Linked DNA regions of Arabidopsis thaliana. The protein of the gene in region 1 interacts with the protein of each later gene in a biochemical or structural test. Each region holds a gene or a part of one and is shown on either strand. Other genes may lie near its edges. The genes, in order: NIK2 and AT4G39270.

Evidence for each region.
Region 2: the proteins of NIK2 (region 1) and AT4G39270 form a complex in vitro, tested with the Arabidopsis thaliana proteins (one large-scale study listed by BioGRID).

Annotation. Positions count from the first base shown.
Region 1 is NC_003074.8:9,278,749-9,284,756, reverse strand, and holds NIK2 (NSP-interacting kinase 2), read left to right. Parts: upstream 1-1,896; 5' UTR 1,897-2,196; coding exon 2,197-2,323; intron 2,324-2,413; coding exon 2,414-2,543; intron 2,544-2,628; coding exon 2,629-2,700; intron 2,701-2,788; coding exon 2,789-2,932; intron 2,933-3,028; coding exon of another isoform or gene 3,029-3,031; coding exon 3,032-3,103; intron 3,104-3,191; coding exon 3,192-3,251; intron 3,252-3,407; coding exon 3,408-3,505; intron 3,506-3,605; coding exon 3,606-3,758; intron 3,759-3,853; coding exon 3,854-4,195; intron 4,196-4,272; coding exon 4,273-4,652; intron 4,653-4,745; coding exon 4,746-5,064; coding exon of another isoform or gene 5,065-5,075; exon of another isoform or gene 5,076-5,160; coding exon 5,161-5,207; coding exon of another isoform or gene 5,208-5,226; 3' UTR 5,227-5,244; downstream 5,245-6,008. Other genes in the region: AT3G25550 (F-box family protein), read right to left, coding at 5,170-5,226, 5,322-5,643, 5,719-5,879.
Region 2 is NC_003075.7:18,274,396-18,280,731, forward strand, and holds AT4G39270 (Leucine-rich repeat protein kinase family protein), read left to right. Parts: upstream 1-1,915; 5' UTR 1,916-2,478; coding exon 2,479-4,373; coding exon of another isoform or gene 4,374-4,461; coding exon 4,462-4,590; coding exon of another isoform or gene 4,591-4,594; exon of another isoform or gene 4,595-4,670; coding exon 4,671-4,693; coding exon of another isoform or gene 4,694-4,731; exon of another isoform or gene 4,732-4,767; coding exon 4,768-5,315; 3' UTR 5,316-5,546; downstream 5,547-6,336. Other genes in the region: CCR1 (cold, circadian rhythm, and RNA binding 1), read right to left, coding at 1-172, 456-563; AT4G39280 (phenylalanyl-tRNA synthetase, putative / phenylalanine-tRNA ligase), read right to left, coding at 5,897-5,947.

The DNA.
Region 1 (6,008 bases):
GCTTTTGTGGTTTAAAAAGTGGCTTGTCTGTTGACTAATCACTGCGTAGACAAAGATTTGATTTTTGTGTTTGTATATAAGCTTAGCAGTTGCTCGATCCAATAATTTCTTCATCAATCATTTTTTCATTGTGCAGTAGTAAAGTAATGAAGTACTAGACTCATGTAAAATAATAATATACGCACATCCGATTGGGAACAACATGGTAGAAAAAAATATCAAATTTCCATATATGTTAATCGAAAGACAAAATGGGGGAAAATCACTATTTTATAACATTAAGTCGCATCATTATTAATTTCTTGATCAACTTAACTATAACTATTATGTACTACATTTGGTAAGTTCTTTTCAAACTTTTGTTTTCTCTAACAATTTTCTTTTATTTTAGACCAAATGTTAAGCTCTCAATCATTATTTCTTCTTTTGGAATTTCGAGTTTTGTAGTTTTCTCATTTTAACTTCATTTCGATCATATGTTTTCCGTCTTATCAAGTTCTAATTCTACCCTCTAAAGTACCATCTAATATTCCACCGCTTAAAATATCCAATTGACATTGTCACATTCGGAAGAAAAGAAAACCATCCATTTGGCGAAAGCACATGTTATATTATCAACAAACAACATTGATAAACGATATTTAATTTCAAATGGTTGACAAAACATATTTTAGCACGAATTTAGAGCATAGATAGAAAAAGGATCAAATATCTTAATATAATTAATGAATAGTTATGAAGATATTAACATATATTAACTGTGATGAGTGGGAATAAAAACAGAGTTAAAGGGAGTCATTAAAAAAGAAAAAGAAAAGTTCTAAGTCACAGACTCACAGTATATCTCATCGACACAACGAGTGTCCCACTATTATAATTTTATAATTCACAGTTTATTTAACTTTGCGTTACATCACAATAATTTTCACACTTTATCACTTCGAGGCCACTTGGTTATTCTTCCCGGAATATAAATGCTTTATTAATAACAGATTAATGGTGCTTAGTGCTTACCATATAAATTCACTTTTCACCTGCTCTAATTGATTAATAGTATGATGTATTTTTTTTTATGAAGGCTTATCTTAGGTCTAATTGATTATCGTTTGTTGCTTTCCTACATCCGAGAACAGGTTGAGTCTATTAATCCTCTAGACTTAGAACACAACCAGGTCTTCGAATCCAAATACATTACTTCAAAAAAAAGTCTAAAGAGTAAGTAACATATCTATTGATTTTATAACCCAAAAAACATATTAATTGATTTTTTGTTTTTAGTACATATTCGATTTGGTAGCATCATCCCTTTTTAAAGAGCAAGGCTGGTAAATCCACTAGCTCACACCATTGTCCATGTACCAGTATAACTATGCAACATTCAATACAACATTTCACATAATTATTTATTTTCAATATTAAATCTTAAGTTTTTCTAAAACAGTTGATTGTCTAGAAAAATACATTTTCTTCAAAGCAAATATACATAATTGAAATTGAAAACAGTCGATTGCCAATGAGTTGATTTAAAAGAAAACAAAATTATTTATTAAACCAAAAAAATCGTACATATGTAATATTTCATCATTGTTAAACTCATTTGTATATTTTTTATGATATAGATATATTTTGTTTTGTGTCTTTTTTTTTTTCACCAATTTTGTTTTGTGTCTACGATTGTATAGTAAACCATCTTTGCATTTTTGTAATTTTAAGCACTACAATATAGTTTTTTTTCAATAATTTATTCTCATATATGTAAAAAACGAAGTCGAATTCTGGTAAGAGAGACGAAATTAAATAAATGGACCCATATTTGTAGATAACTTAATATAAATCAAGTTTTTTTTTTTGTGTGCGCGAAGTATATAAACCATAAAAATCTTATAGAATTCTGTTTTTTTATCACATGATTGAAAACTAAACATTTCCCGATTTTGTCTCTGGCCTTTTCCAGTTTACAGTCTAGAGGACCATTAGATAAATAATTGGCAGACAAATCTTTCTCTTTCTCTTTCCCTCTTTAACTCTCACTCACAAATACTTCCAAATCAAAATCCTCTGTTCCATCTTTTTCTTAAAAACCTCCAAACAAAGAATCGAAAAAAAGAATATTTCTTATACAAAAGAAATAAACCTCAAACTCTGCACCTTAGAGATTAATACTCTCAAGAAAAACAAGTTTTGATTCGGACAAAGATGTTGCAAGGAAGAAGAGAAGCAAAAAAGAGTTATGCTTTGTTCTCTTCAACTTTCTTCTTCTTCTTTATCTGTTTTCTTTCTTCTTCTTCTGCAGAACTCACAGACAAAGGTGTTAACTTTGAAGGTAATGTTCATCAACAAAATCTTCCCCCACTTCTCAGTTTCTCCTTTTTTCTTCCTAAAACATGCTTTTCTTTTTTTGTTTCTTCTTTAGTTGTTGCCTTAATAGGAATCAAAAGCTCACTGACTGATCCTCATGGAGTTCTAATGAATTGGGATGACACAGCAGTTGATCCATGTAGCTGGAACATGATCACTTGTTCTGATGGTTTTGTCATAAGGCTGTAAGCACTTACACACCAACACACACACACACACACACATATATGTAATCATGTGTTTACAGTTTTTACTATTGTGTGTATGTAGAGAAGCTCCAAGCCAAAACTTATCAGGAACTCTTTCATCAAGTATTGGAAATTTAACAAATCTTCAAACTGTGTAAGTATGTTTTGTAGTAATTATTAAAACATTGTTTCTTCATCTCTTAATCACTTTAGTTTTCTAATAATTTTGTTTGGAGATACAGGTTATTGCAGAACAATTACATAACAGGAAACATCCCTCATGAGATTGGGAAATTGATGAAACTCAAAACACTTGATCTCTCTACCAATAACTTCACTGGTCAAATCCCATTCACTCTTTCTTACTCCAAAAATCTTCAGTACTTGTATGATTTTATCCATTTTTTCGTTTTGTTTATTTTATCATATTTTTTATATAAATTATTTATGGAGAGATTATTTTTGTGTTGAAAATTGTGGAGCAGGAGGGTTAATAATAACAGCCTGACAGGAACAATTCCTAGCTCATTGGCAAACATGACCCAACTCACTTTTTTGTACATTCTCTTTCTTTTATTTTCTTCTTTAAATTATATTTTACATATATAAATCTGTGTTTATATATATTTTGTAAATGTTTTTCAGGGATTTGTCGTATAATAACTTGAGTGGACCAGTTCCAAGATCACTTGCCAAAACATTCAAGTAAGTCTATTTACGAGAAAGAATATTTGTCTGCTCTGTTTTACTCTGTTCTGAGAAAGTAACAGTGTAATTGTGTTTTTCTTTTCTCTGTAATTTATCCACTTTTATACGTTACCCTAATTATATTATATAGTTTTTATTTAACTTGTTATGCAGTGTTATGGGCAATTCTCAGATTTGTCCAACAGGAACTGAGAAAGACTGTAATGGGACTCAGCCTAAGCCAATGTCAATCACCTTGAACAGTTCTCAAAGTAATATCTAAATTTTCAATATTTTAAAGTAATATTTGAATCCTAGAGAATATATCTAAACTGATTTTTCTTTTCTTCTTGTTGTTGTTGTTGTTGTTAGATAAATCATCTGATGGAGGAACTAAAAACCGGAAAATCGCGGTAGTCTTCGGTGTAAGCTTGACATGTGTTTGCTTGTTGATCATTGGCTTTGGTTTTCTTCTTTGGTGGAGAAGAAGACATAACAAACAAGTATTATTCTTTGACATTAATGGTAAGACCCACAATGACATTTTTAATCCCTTTTCGTTAACTGTTGAATGTGAAACCAGACAAATGTGAGTGTGTGAATTTTTGGGTCTTACACAGAGCAAAACAAGGAAGAAATGTGTCTAGGGAATCTAAGGAGGTTTAATTTCAAAGAACTTCAATCCGCAACTAGTAACTTCAGCAGCAAGAATCTGGTCGGAAAAGGAGGGTTTGGAAATGTGTATAAAGGTTGTCTTCATGATGGAAGTATCATCGCGGTGAAGAGATTAAAGGATATAAACAATGGTGGTGGAGAGGTTCAGTTTCAGACAGAGCTTGAAATGATAAGCCTTGCCGTCCACCGGAATCTCCTCCGCTTATACGGTTTCTGTACTACTTCCTCTGAACGGCTTCTCGTTTATCCTTACATGTCCAATGGCAGTGTCGCTTCTCGTCTCAAAGGTAGTTAATTAAACACCTTGATTTTGATTTCTTTACATGAATTGACCCGGTTTACGATTCGTGTGAATGGTTTGCAGCTAAACCGGTATTGGATTGGGGCACAAGAAAGCGAATAGCATTAGGAGCAGGAAGAGGGTTGCTGTATTTGCATGAGCAATGTGATCCAAAGATCATTCACCGTGATGTCAAAGCTGCGAACATACTTCTTGACGATTACTTTGAAGCTGTTGTCGGAGATTTCGGGTTGGCTAAGCTTTTGGATCATGAGGAGTCGCATGTGACAACCGCCGTGAGAGGAACAGTGGGTCACATTGCACCTGAGTATCTCTCAACAGGACAATCTTCTGAGAAGACAGATGTGTTCGGTTTCGGGATTCTTCTTCTCGAATTGATTACTGGATTGAGAGCTCTTGAATTCGGAAAAGCAGCAAACCAAAGAGGAGCGATACTTGATTGGGTAAGAAGTAAAAGAGTAAAACATTTTCTCTTCTTGTTTCAGTTAGCTTAAAAATACTCACTTCTAGGGTTTTTTCTTTGGGGTTACTTGTAGGTAAAGAAACTACAACAAGAGAAGAAGCTAGAACAGATAGTAGACAAGGATTTGAAGAGCAACTACGATAGAATAGAAGTGGAAGAAATGGTTCAAGTGGCTTTGCTTTGTACACAGTATCTTCCCATTCACCGTCCTAAGATGTCTGAAGTTGTGAGAATGCTTGAAGGCGATGGTCTTGTTGAGAAATGGGAAGCTTCTTCTCAGAGAGCAGAAACCAATAGAAGTTACAGTAAACCTAACGAGTTTTCTTCCTCTGAACGTTATTCGGATCTTACAGATGATTCCTCGGTGCTGGTTCAAGCCATGGAGTTATCAGGTCCAAGATGACAAGAGAAACTATATGAATGGCTTTGGGTTTGTAAAAAACATATATAAGATTGTGTATTTTGTTGTATGCTGTGATCTTGTACAGGTTTTGGTATCAGAAAGACATATTCTCATGCTTTATCCCATGATTAGGAGGAGGTGGAATCACCGCCTCCATTTCGTAGAAACGAAATCGAAAACCTCGCATGTCATCGTCGATGAGGTTTCCTCTTTTATTTTCTTCTTTGTTTTGGTACGTAACCACACTAGTTTGTATGTTCCTGTGACGCTGTCTTTTCCAAACCCGAGGCGAGAGAACTCTACCTTGTTGCTGTCTAAATAATTCTTTCGTTGAATCCTAGCAAGAGGGAGCTTCTTAGACCATCTTGTGTCTGGATTTATCACCATAATTGGCTGTTTCATGTCCACACCACTATATAAACAAAAAAGACCATCCACACTCTTGGAAAATAGTATCCGCCTCTCTTTGTGTTTCTTGCTAGTTAAATATTCTTCTTCTCCCACTAGACGACTCAAAGACCACTCCAACCTCATGGTCTTGTAACGAATGCTTGGCTTAGACCCGTTTCTTCTAACTTCATAGAGACAGAGAAATTTGGGTTCTTTTGTTTTCTGATGCAACATGTATTTCTTCCTGATTTACCTAGACTTTATCGTATGCCTCCAGTGTTTAGACACGGTTTGGAATCTAGTTAGGGTTTTCACTGGAAGCCTTACTATAATCTCTTCCAACACATCGTCGTTTGGTATCTTAATAACCTGTCTTCTTCTTCTTTTGCTTTCTCTTCCATGATGCATGATCATCTCCTGCTTCTTCTTCTCTTCTTCGTCTTCTTCTTTCGGTTTCTCTTTCAATATCTCTTGCGTGATATTCACTTCTTCTTTTTCTTCCTCTCTCTGAAGAGGACGAAGCAATCTTTCCCATGATATGTG
Region 2 (6,336 bases), on another chromosome or scaffold:
GGCCTCCTCCGCCACCGCCGCTACCTCTCGACTGAGCCTCGTTCACGGTGATGACACGTCCATCGAGCTCTTTACCGTTCATCTCTTCAATCGCATCCCTCATGGCTTTCTCGTCCTTGAAGGTGACGAATCCGAATCCCCTTGATCTTCCACTCTCGCGGTCGTTAATGATCTGTAAACAAACAAAATCATACACATCAGCAAAAACAATCGTGGAAGGAATATAAAACAAAGCGATGAATATAAAGCAAAAATCGATCGATCTCCGAGCTCATAGAAGCAGGAAGATGAACGTACCGATGGGACAAATTAAGTAACAGTAACAAAGAACGAGAGAGAACATAGTAACAGTAATCGAATCAAGTAACAGAGAAACAGATCGGAATCAGATCCGTCGAGGATCAGAATCATCGGAATCGGCTCGATCCGGGAGACCGATCTCTCGTGTAACAGACCTTAGAATCGATAACGTCGCCGAACTGTGAGAACGTCCTTTGAAGATCTTCATCATTGGTGGCCCAGGCAAGGCCGCCGACAAAGCACCGGTACTCAACTTCAGACATTTTTTTTTGGGGAAAAGAAGAGAAATTAGGGTTTCAAAATGTAAGAGAGAGACTTATGTGATTTGAGGTGATAAGACGCAGCCTTAATTTATAGAACAGGTGTGACGTAATAACTAGGGTTAAACATGTTTTCTAGGGTTTGCTGAAAGATTTGTTTCAACTTACTCTGATTAAGATGTGTGGTTAATTGGGTTAGTGGTTAGGCCCACATCATGTGAGCATTTTCGATAACTAATGATTTTTTCTCCTCGTTTCGAGCAAAAAATATCTTTGTAAGAATATCTTTTATTCCTTAAATGACAATTTTGTCCTTCGTCTCGTCGTCATTATGTCATACAATAGTTGGGTCTGAGTTTCGTTTATTGGGCCTATCTAATTTAATTGGAAAGATTATAACTTCCGGCCCAATGAATCTGACGGCGAAATTAGTAAAACAATAAAATGAAATAATATGCAAAGACTATGACGATAATGTGCTATGGATTTACATATTTGTTTTGTCATTAATTATGACATGCAATAAATTCATATGAAAAGATTCTTATCGCAATAGCATCGTGGACATGTTACAGTCTGTAATATCCAAACTTTAGCATAGACGTTTTTTGTTGTACAAATATTTTGGTATGTTAAGTGATATTCAAATGAAAGCTAGATGTGCAGATATGTGAACATATAAATCTTTCAATGGAATTCAATTTTCAATCATTGAATATTTGGATACACTCGCTCTGTACTTGAAATATTTTGACTGTCTGAATATTATTTTTTTACAGGATTAATTATTTTGTATACCAAAATTAGACGGATGAAGAATGAAGATGTAGTAGTTATACAAAGTCAATTACAAATGGTTCAGTATCTTGATTTCGATTTTTGTGCTGAAAATGCTGACTAAAGCGTGTAGAAGAGCTTTTTCAACAAGAAATAACCTGGCTAAGATTTTTTTAAGAAATCTGATTATTAATATATCGCAGGTAATATGAAAAAGTATCGTCGACTTTTTATAAGAGTGACAACTAAATCATTTTGCTCATAATAAAGCCACAATTATTATTAGTATATTTTGGTCGTTTTAATACGAGGAAAAATAATTGTCATACAAAATTTACAGAAATGGAGTAGCATCGTAGCTCCTAGGAATTCAATTATTTATTTGCAAAACTACTAAAATGGTGGTTATCATATTAAACGTCAGCAGAAACTTTAAGTATTTTTGAAATGATATTAATTTAAGAGTTCGTTAAGCTGTCTTGGGCGGGATCGTTGAGAGTCAAACTCCTCAAACGACGCCGTATTCAGAACTTCACTTTCAATTACTGTATCTGCGTCTCGGTCACGAGATCGAACCATAAATCTTGGGAACGTGCACGTATACAACGAAAGATCCACCTTCTCTCACTTTTTTTATTTTCTTATACTTTCTTCTCTTTTCTTCGAACGGCCGCTGTTCTTGACCAGTCTGAAGCTTTCTCTGTCCAGAACAGTTCTGTAAGAAGAAGTTTTTATCAAATATTATATAAAAATATCTGTTTCGTATTATATCAGACTTTCCATCTTTCTCTCTCTAAATCTAGGACAAAAAAAAACATGGAAGAGTTAGAGAGAGAGAGAGGCAGCAGAAAATGATTGGTAAACAACAATGAATCGTTTTTGATTCTGAAGTGCACAGAGAAAAGTAATTGCCAGAGAAAGTCGCAGAGGTAACAGAGTGAAGAACCTTTTTTAGTATATATCTTTGTTGAATAATCACAAAAAGAAAGTTTCCTTTATTGATCGGATTCGAAGGAAACCCAAAAAAAAAAGAGATTTGATTATTTCCATAAATCGCGAAGCTTTTTTCCAATTGAATCTTAGGCAATGAATGGCTTTAAGTTTTTCGAAGTACTAGTCGTCACCAGGGTTTAGAGAAACCATGGTGGTTCTGAGGAAGACATCCTTGTTGGTCTTCTTCTTATTCCTCCTCTTGTTGTTAGAGTCAACGTTTGAGCAACAGACAAGTTCTCTGAATGAGAAATCGGCGCTTCTGCTGTTAAGGTCTTCTCTTGGGTTACGAAGCAGAGATTGGCCTGTAAAAGGCAATCCTTGTCTGAACTGGAACGGCATCAAATGTGATCAGAATGGTAGAGTAACTAAGATCAACATTTCAGGGTTCAGAAGGACAAGGATTGGGAATCAAAACCCGGAATTCTCAGTTGGTTCTCTCGTCAATCTCACCCGTCTAGCTTCCTTCAACGCCTCAAGGTTCTATCTTCCAGGTCCAATCCCGGCTTTGTTTGGATCGAGTCTGTTGACTTTAGAGGTGTTGGACCTTAGCTCCTGTTCAATCACAGGAACCATCCCTGAAAGTTTGACTCGGTTATCACATCTCAAAGTTCTTGATCTTTCAAAGAATGCGATCAATGGGGATATTCCTCTGTCTCTTACCTCTCTTCAGAATCTATCAATCCTTGATCTTTCCTCAAACTCGGTGTTTGGTTCGATTCCTGCTAATATTGGGGCACTCTCAAAGCTCCAGCGTCTGAATCTTTCGCGTAACACCTTGACTTCTTCAATACCTCCATCACTCGGAGACCTCTCTGTTTTAATTGACCTTGATCTCAGCTTCAACGGAATGTCAGGTTCGGTTCCATCAGATTTGAAAGGGCTAAGGAACTTGCAGACATTGGTAATTGCGGGAAATCGCCTTTCAGGATCCCTACCTCCTGATCTGTTTAGTTTGCTGAGTAAACTTCAGATCATTGACTTCAGAGGCAGTGGTTTCATAGGCGCTTTACCGTCCAGGTTATGGTCGTTACCGGAGCTCAAGTTTCTAGATATTTCTGGAAATCACTTCTCTGACATGCTGCCTAATACCACTGTCAGTTTTGATTCTACTGTCTCCATGCTTAACATATCCGGGAACATGTTTTACGGCAATCTCACACTTTTACTGACAAGGTTCCAAGTTGTTGACCTGTCAGAAAACTATTTTGAAGGTAAAATTCCTGACTTTGTGCCAACCAGAGCTTCATTGAGCAACAATTGTCTTCAGGGCCCAGAGAAGCAGCGGAAGTTGTCGGATTGCACTTTGTTTTATTCAAAAAAGGGCTTAACTTTCAACAATTTCGGACAACATGAAGAGAAGAAGAGTTCTAAAACTTCCTGGTTAAGCCACACGAAAATAGTTATACTTGCTGCAGTTGGAGGGTCTATATTGCTTATGCTCATTCTCATAGTGTTACCAATAACAGTGAGTTTCTGTGTCCGTCGAAGAAACAGATCATCAACAAGTAATCATCCTAGAGGAAGACACAACGGTGTTGGCCCATTACCTCCTGATGAAACACTTCCCTCAAGAGGAGGAGTCTCTATAAACTTTGGGAGTCTTGGATCATCATTTACCTATCAGCAGTTGCTCAATGCCACCAAGGAGTTCAGTGATTCAAACCTGATCAAGAAAGGACAATCTGGGGATCTTTTCAAGGGAGTTCTAGAAAACGGAGTTCAGATCGTTGTGAAAAGAATCAGCTTGGAATCTACAAAGAACAACGAAGCTTATCTAACCGAGTTGGATTTCTTCAGCCGGTTTGCGCATCCGAGAATAATCCCATTCGTAGGGAAGAGCTTAGAGAGCGCAACTCATAAGTTCTTGGTATACAAGTACATGCTGAATAGGGATTTACCAAGCTCATTGTTCTATAAATCCAATTCCCTAGTTGACAACGGATTGAGATCTCTCGATTGGATCACCAGACTGAAAATAGCATTGGGAGTAGCAGAGGGACTTGCTTACCTGCACCATGATTGCTCACCATCCGTCGTCCACAGGTATGAAAAACCATTCCTTTTACTCTTTTTTTACTTTCAAGCCACCATTAGTTCATTACTGATCTTGAGTCTTCCAATGTTCAATAAGGGATATTCAAGCAAGTAGCATTCTCTTGGATGATAAGTTTGAAGTTAGGCTTGGAAGCTTTAGCAAAGCTTGTCATCAAGAAAACAATGGCCGTCCACGGAAAATAGCCCGATTGCTCAGACTATCCCAGTAAGTGCCTCTGATTCATCATATAACCAATTTTGATTTAAACATCTAACAAACAAGCTTGCTACTGTTTCCCTCTTCAGGTCTTCTCAAGAAAGTGTTCCTGGTGAGTTTATCTTCAAATGCATAAAACAAGCTTGCTAATTTCTTAACTATTCTAACAATCCCTAAAATTCCCAGGGTCTGCAGCTACAGCAACATGTGCCTACGATGTGTACTGCTTCGGCAAGATACTTCTGGAGCTTATCACAGGGAAACTCGGAATCAGCTCATGTAAAGAAACCCAATTCAAAAAAATCCTAACCGAGATCATGCCTTACATTTCATCGCAAGAGAAAGAACCCGTAATGAACATTCTAGACCAATCTCTTCTGGTCGACGAAGACCTCTTAGAAGAAGTCTGGGCAATGGCAATCGTCGCTAGATCTTGTCTTAACCCAAAACCAACGAGACGGCCGCTTATGAGACACATAGTACAAGCCTTGGAGAATCCACTGAGAGTTGTGAGAGAAGACAGCAGCGAATCTGAGAGATTCCGTACGACTGGATCTTCGAGAGGATCTTCGAGTAGCGGTCGAATATTTGGTAGTTGGAGACAGAGCGTGTCTGATCCTGTCGCAGCGGGAACAAGTAGCCTTCTGTCTCAGGCGGAGGGTTTAGCGACTGGATCGTCAGCGAGAGGAAGTAGCCGTGGCGCGTCGAGTCGACGGAGTATGAAAGATGTATAGAAAGAAAGACACACACACACACGATCAATATTTATTTTTTGACGTCAATTTTTAATTATTTTTTATGTGTGGTTATGATTTGATCTCTTGTTGATAAAAAATTCCCGTTAATTTATAATATTTTTCGATGATCAAACCAGACCAGTCTTTTGAGTTTTGATATTCTCGGGTAGCAAACTAGCAATTCGTTTTGTATGGGGTGGGAATCGAAATGTTTTATACTTTGGGGCAATTATATAAAAAACGAAAAGTTTCTGTAATGATGTGTGAATGAGGCTAATAAATGGGCTGCTGTTATCTAACCACGTTGCATCTTTGCACTTAATGGGCCTCTTGGCCCAGTTACTTATTTATTTGATCTAAGTTCTTATTCCTTACATCGTAAATACCACCTCACAAACTTTATACCATACAAAACCAAATGCTAAGTGAAAATTAAATTTGACAAGCCAGATTGCAATTAAGAGTATACACATGTTTAAGATGGAATTGTCAAGTCCAATAACCAAAGGTAGAATTGTAAATACCAAGAGATAATCAAATAAAGTATCTTGAATCAAAAAGATAAATCAAAATATCACTCATATTCCAACTCGGCAGATCGGATTCCGTTTAATAAGATCGAGATCCACCTGCGACAAAATAATGACACATGGATTGAATATATATATTTCCAATAGAACAAAGAAATGTTTACACAAAGTTTTCTTGATAAGTGAAGATTTTGTGCATACCTTGTATATACAAAGAAAGACCGTATGTTTTTTCTAGCCTCTCGTCGAAAGCAATATTGAAAATCTCCTAGAGTGAATCCGAGTACTTGATGTTGTATACCTGAACAACCCACGATCTAAGATGAACACTCAATACATAAATTTTACCTTGTATTATACCCACGGCCGAAGATAGTTTGTGGGCTTCTAGAACCGTCGAACGGAGATGGTTTCTCACATAGTTGGGATAATAAATGGCTTGGAATGTGTTCCACAATTGATTGCATCGATAGTTGAGCCGTTACTCA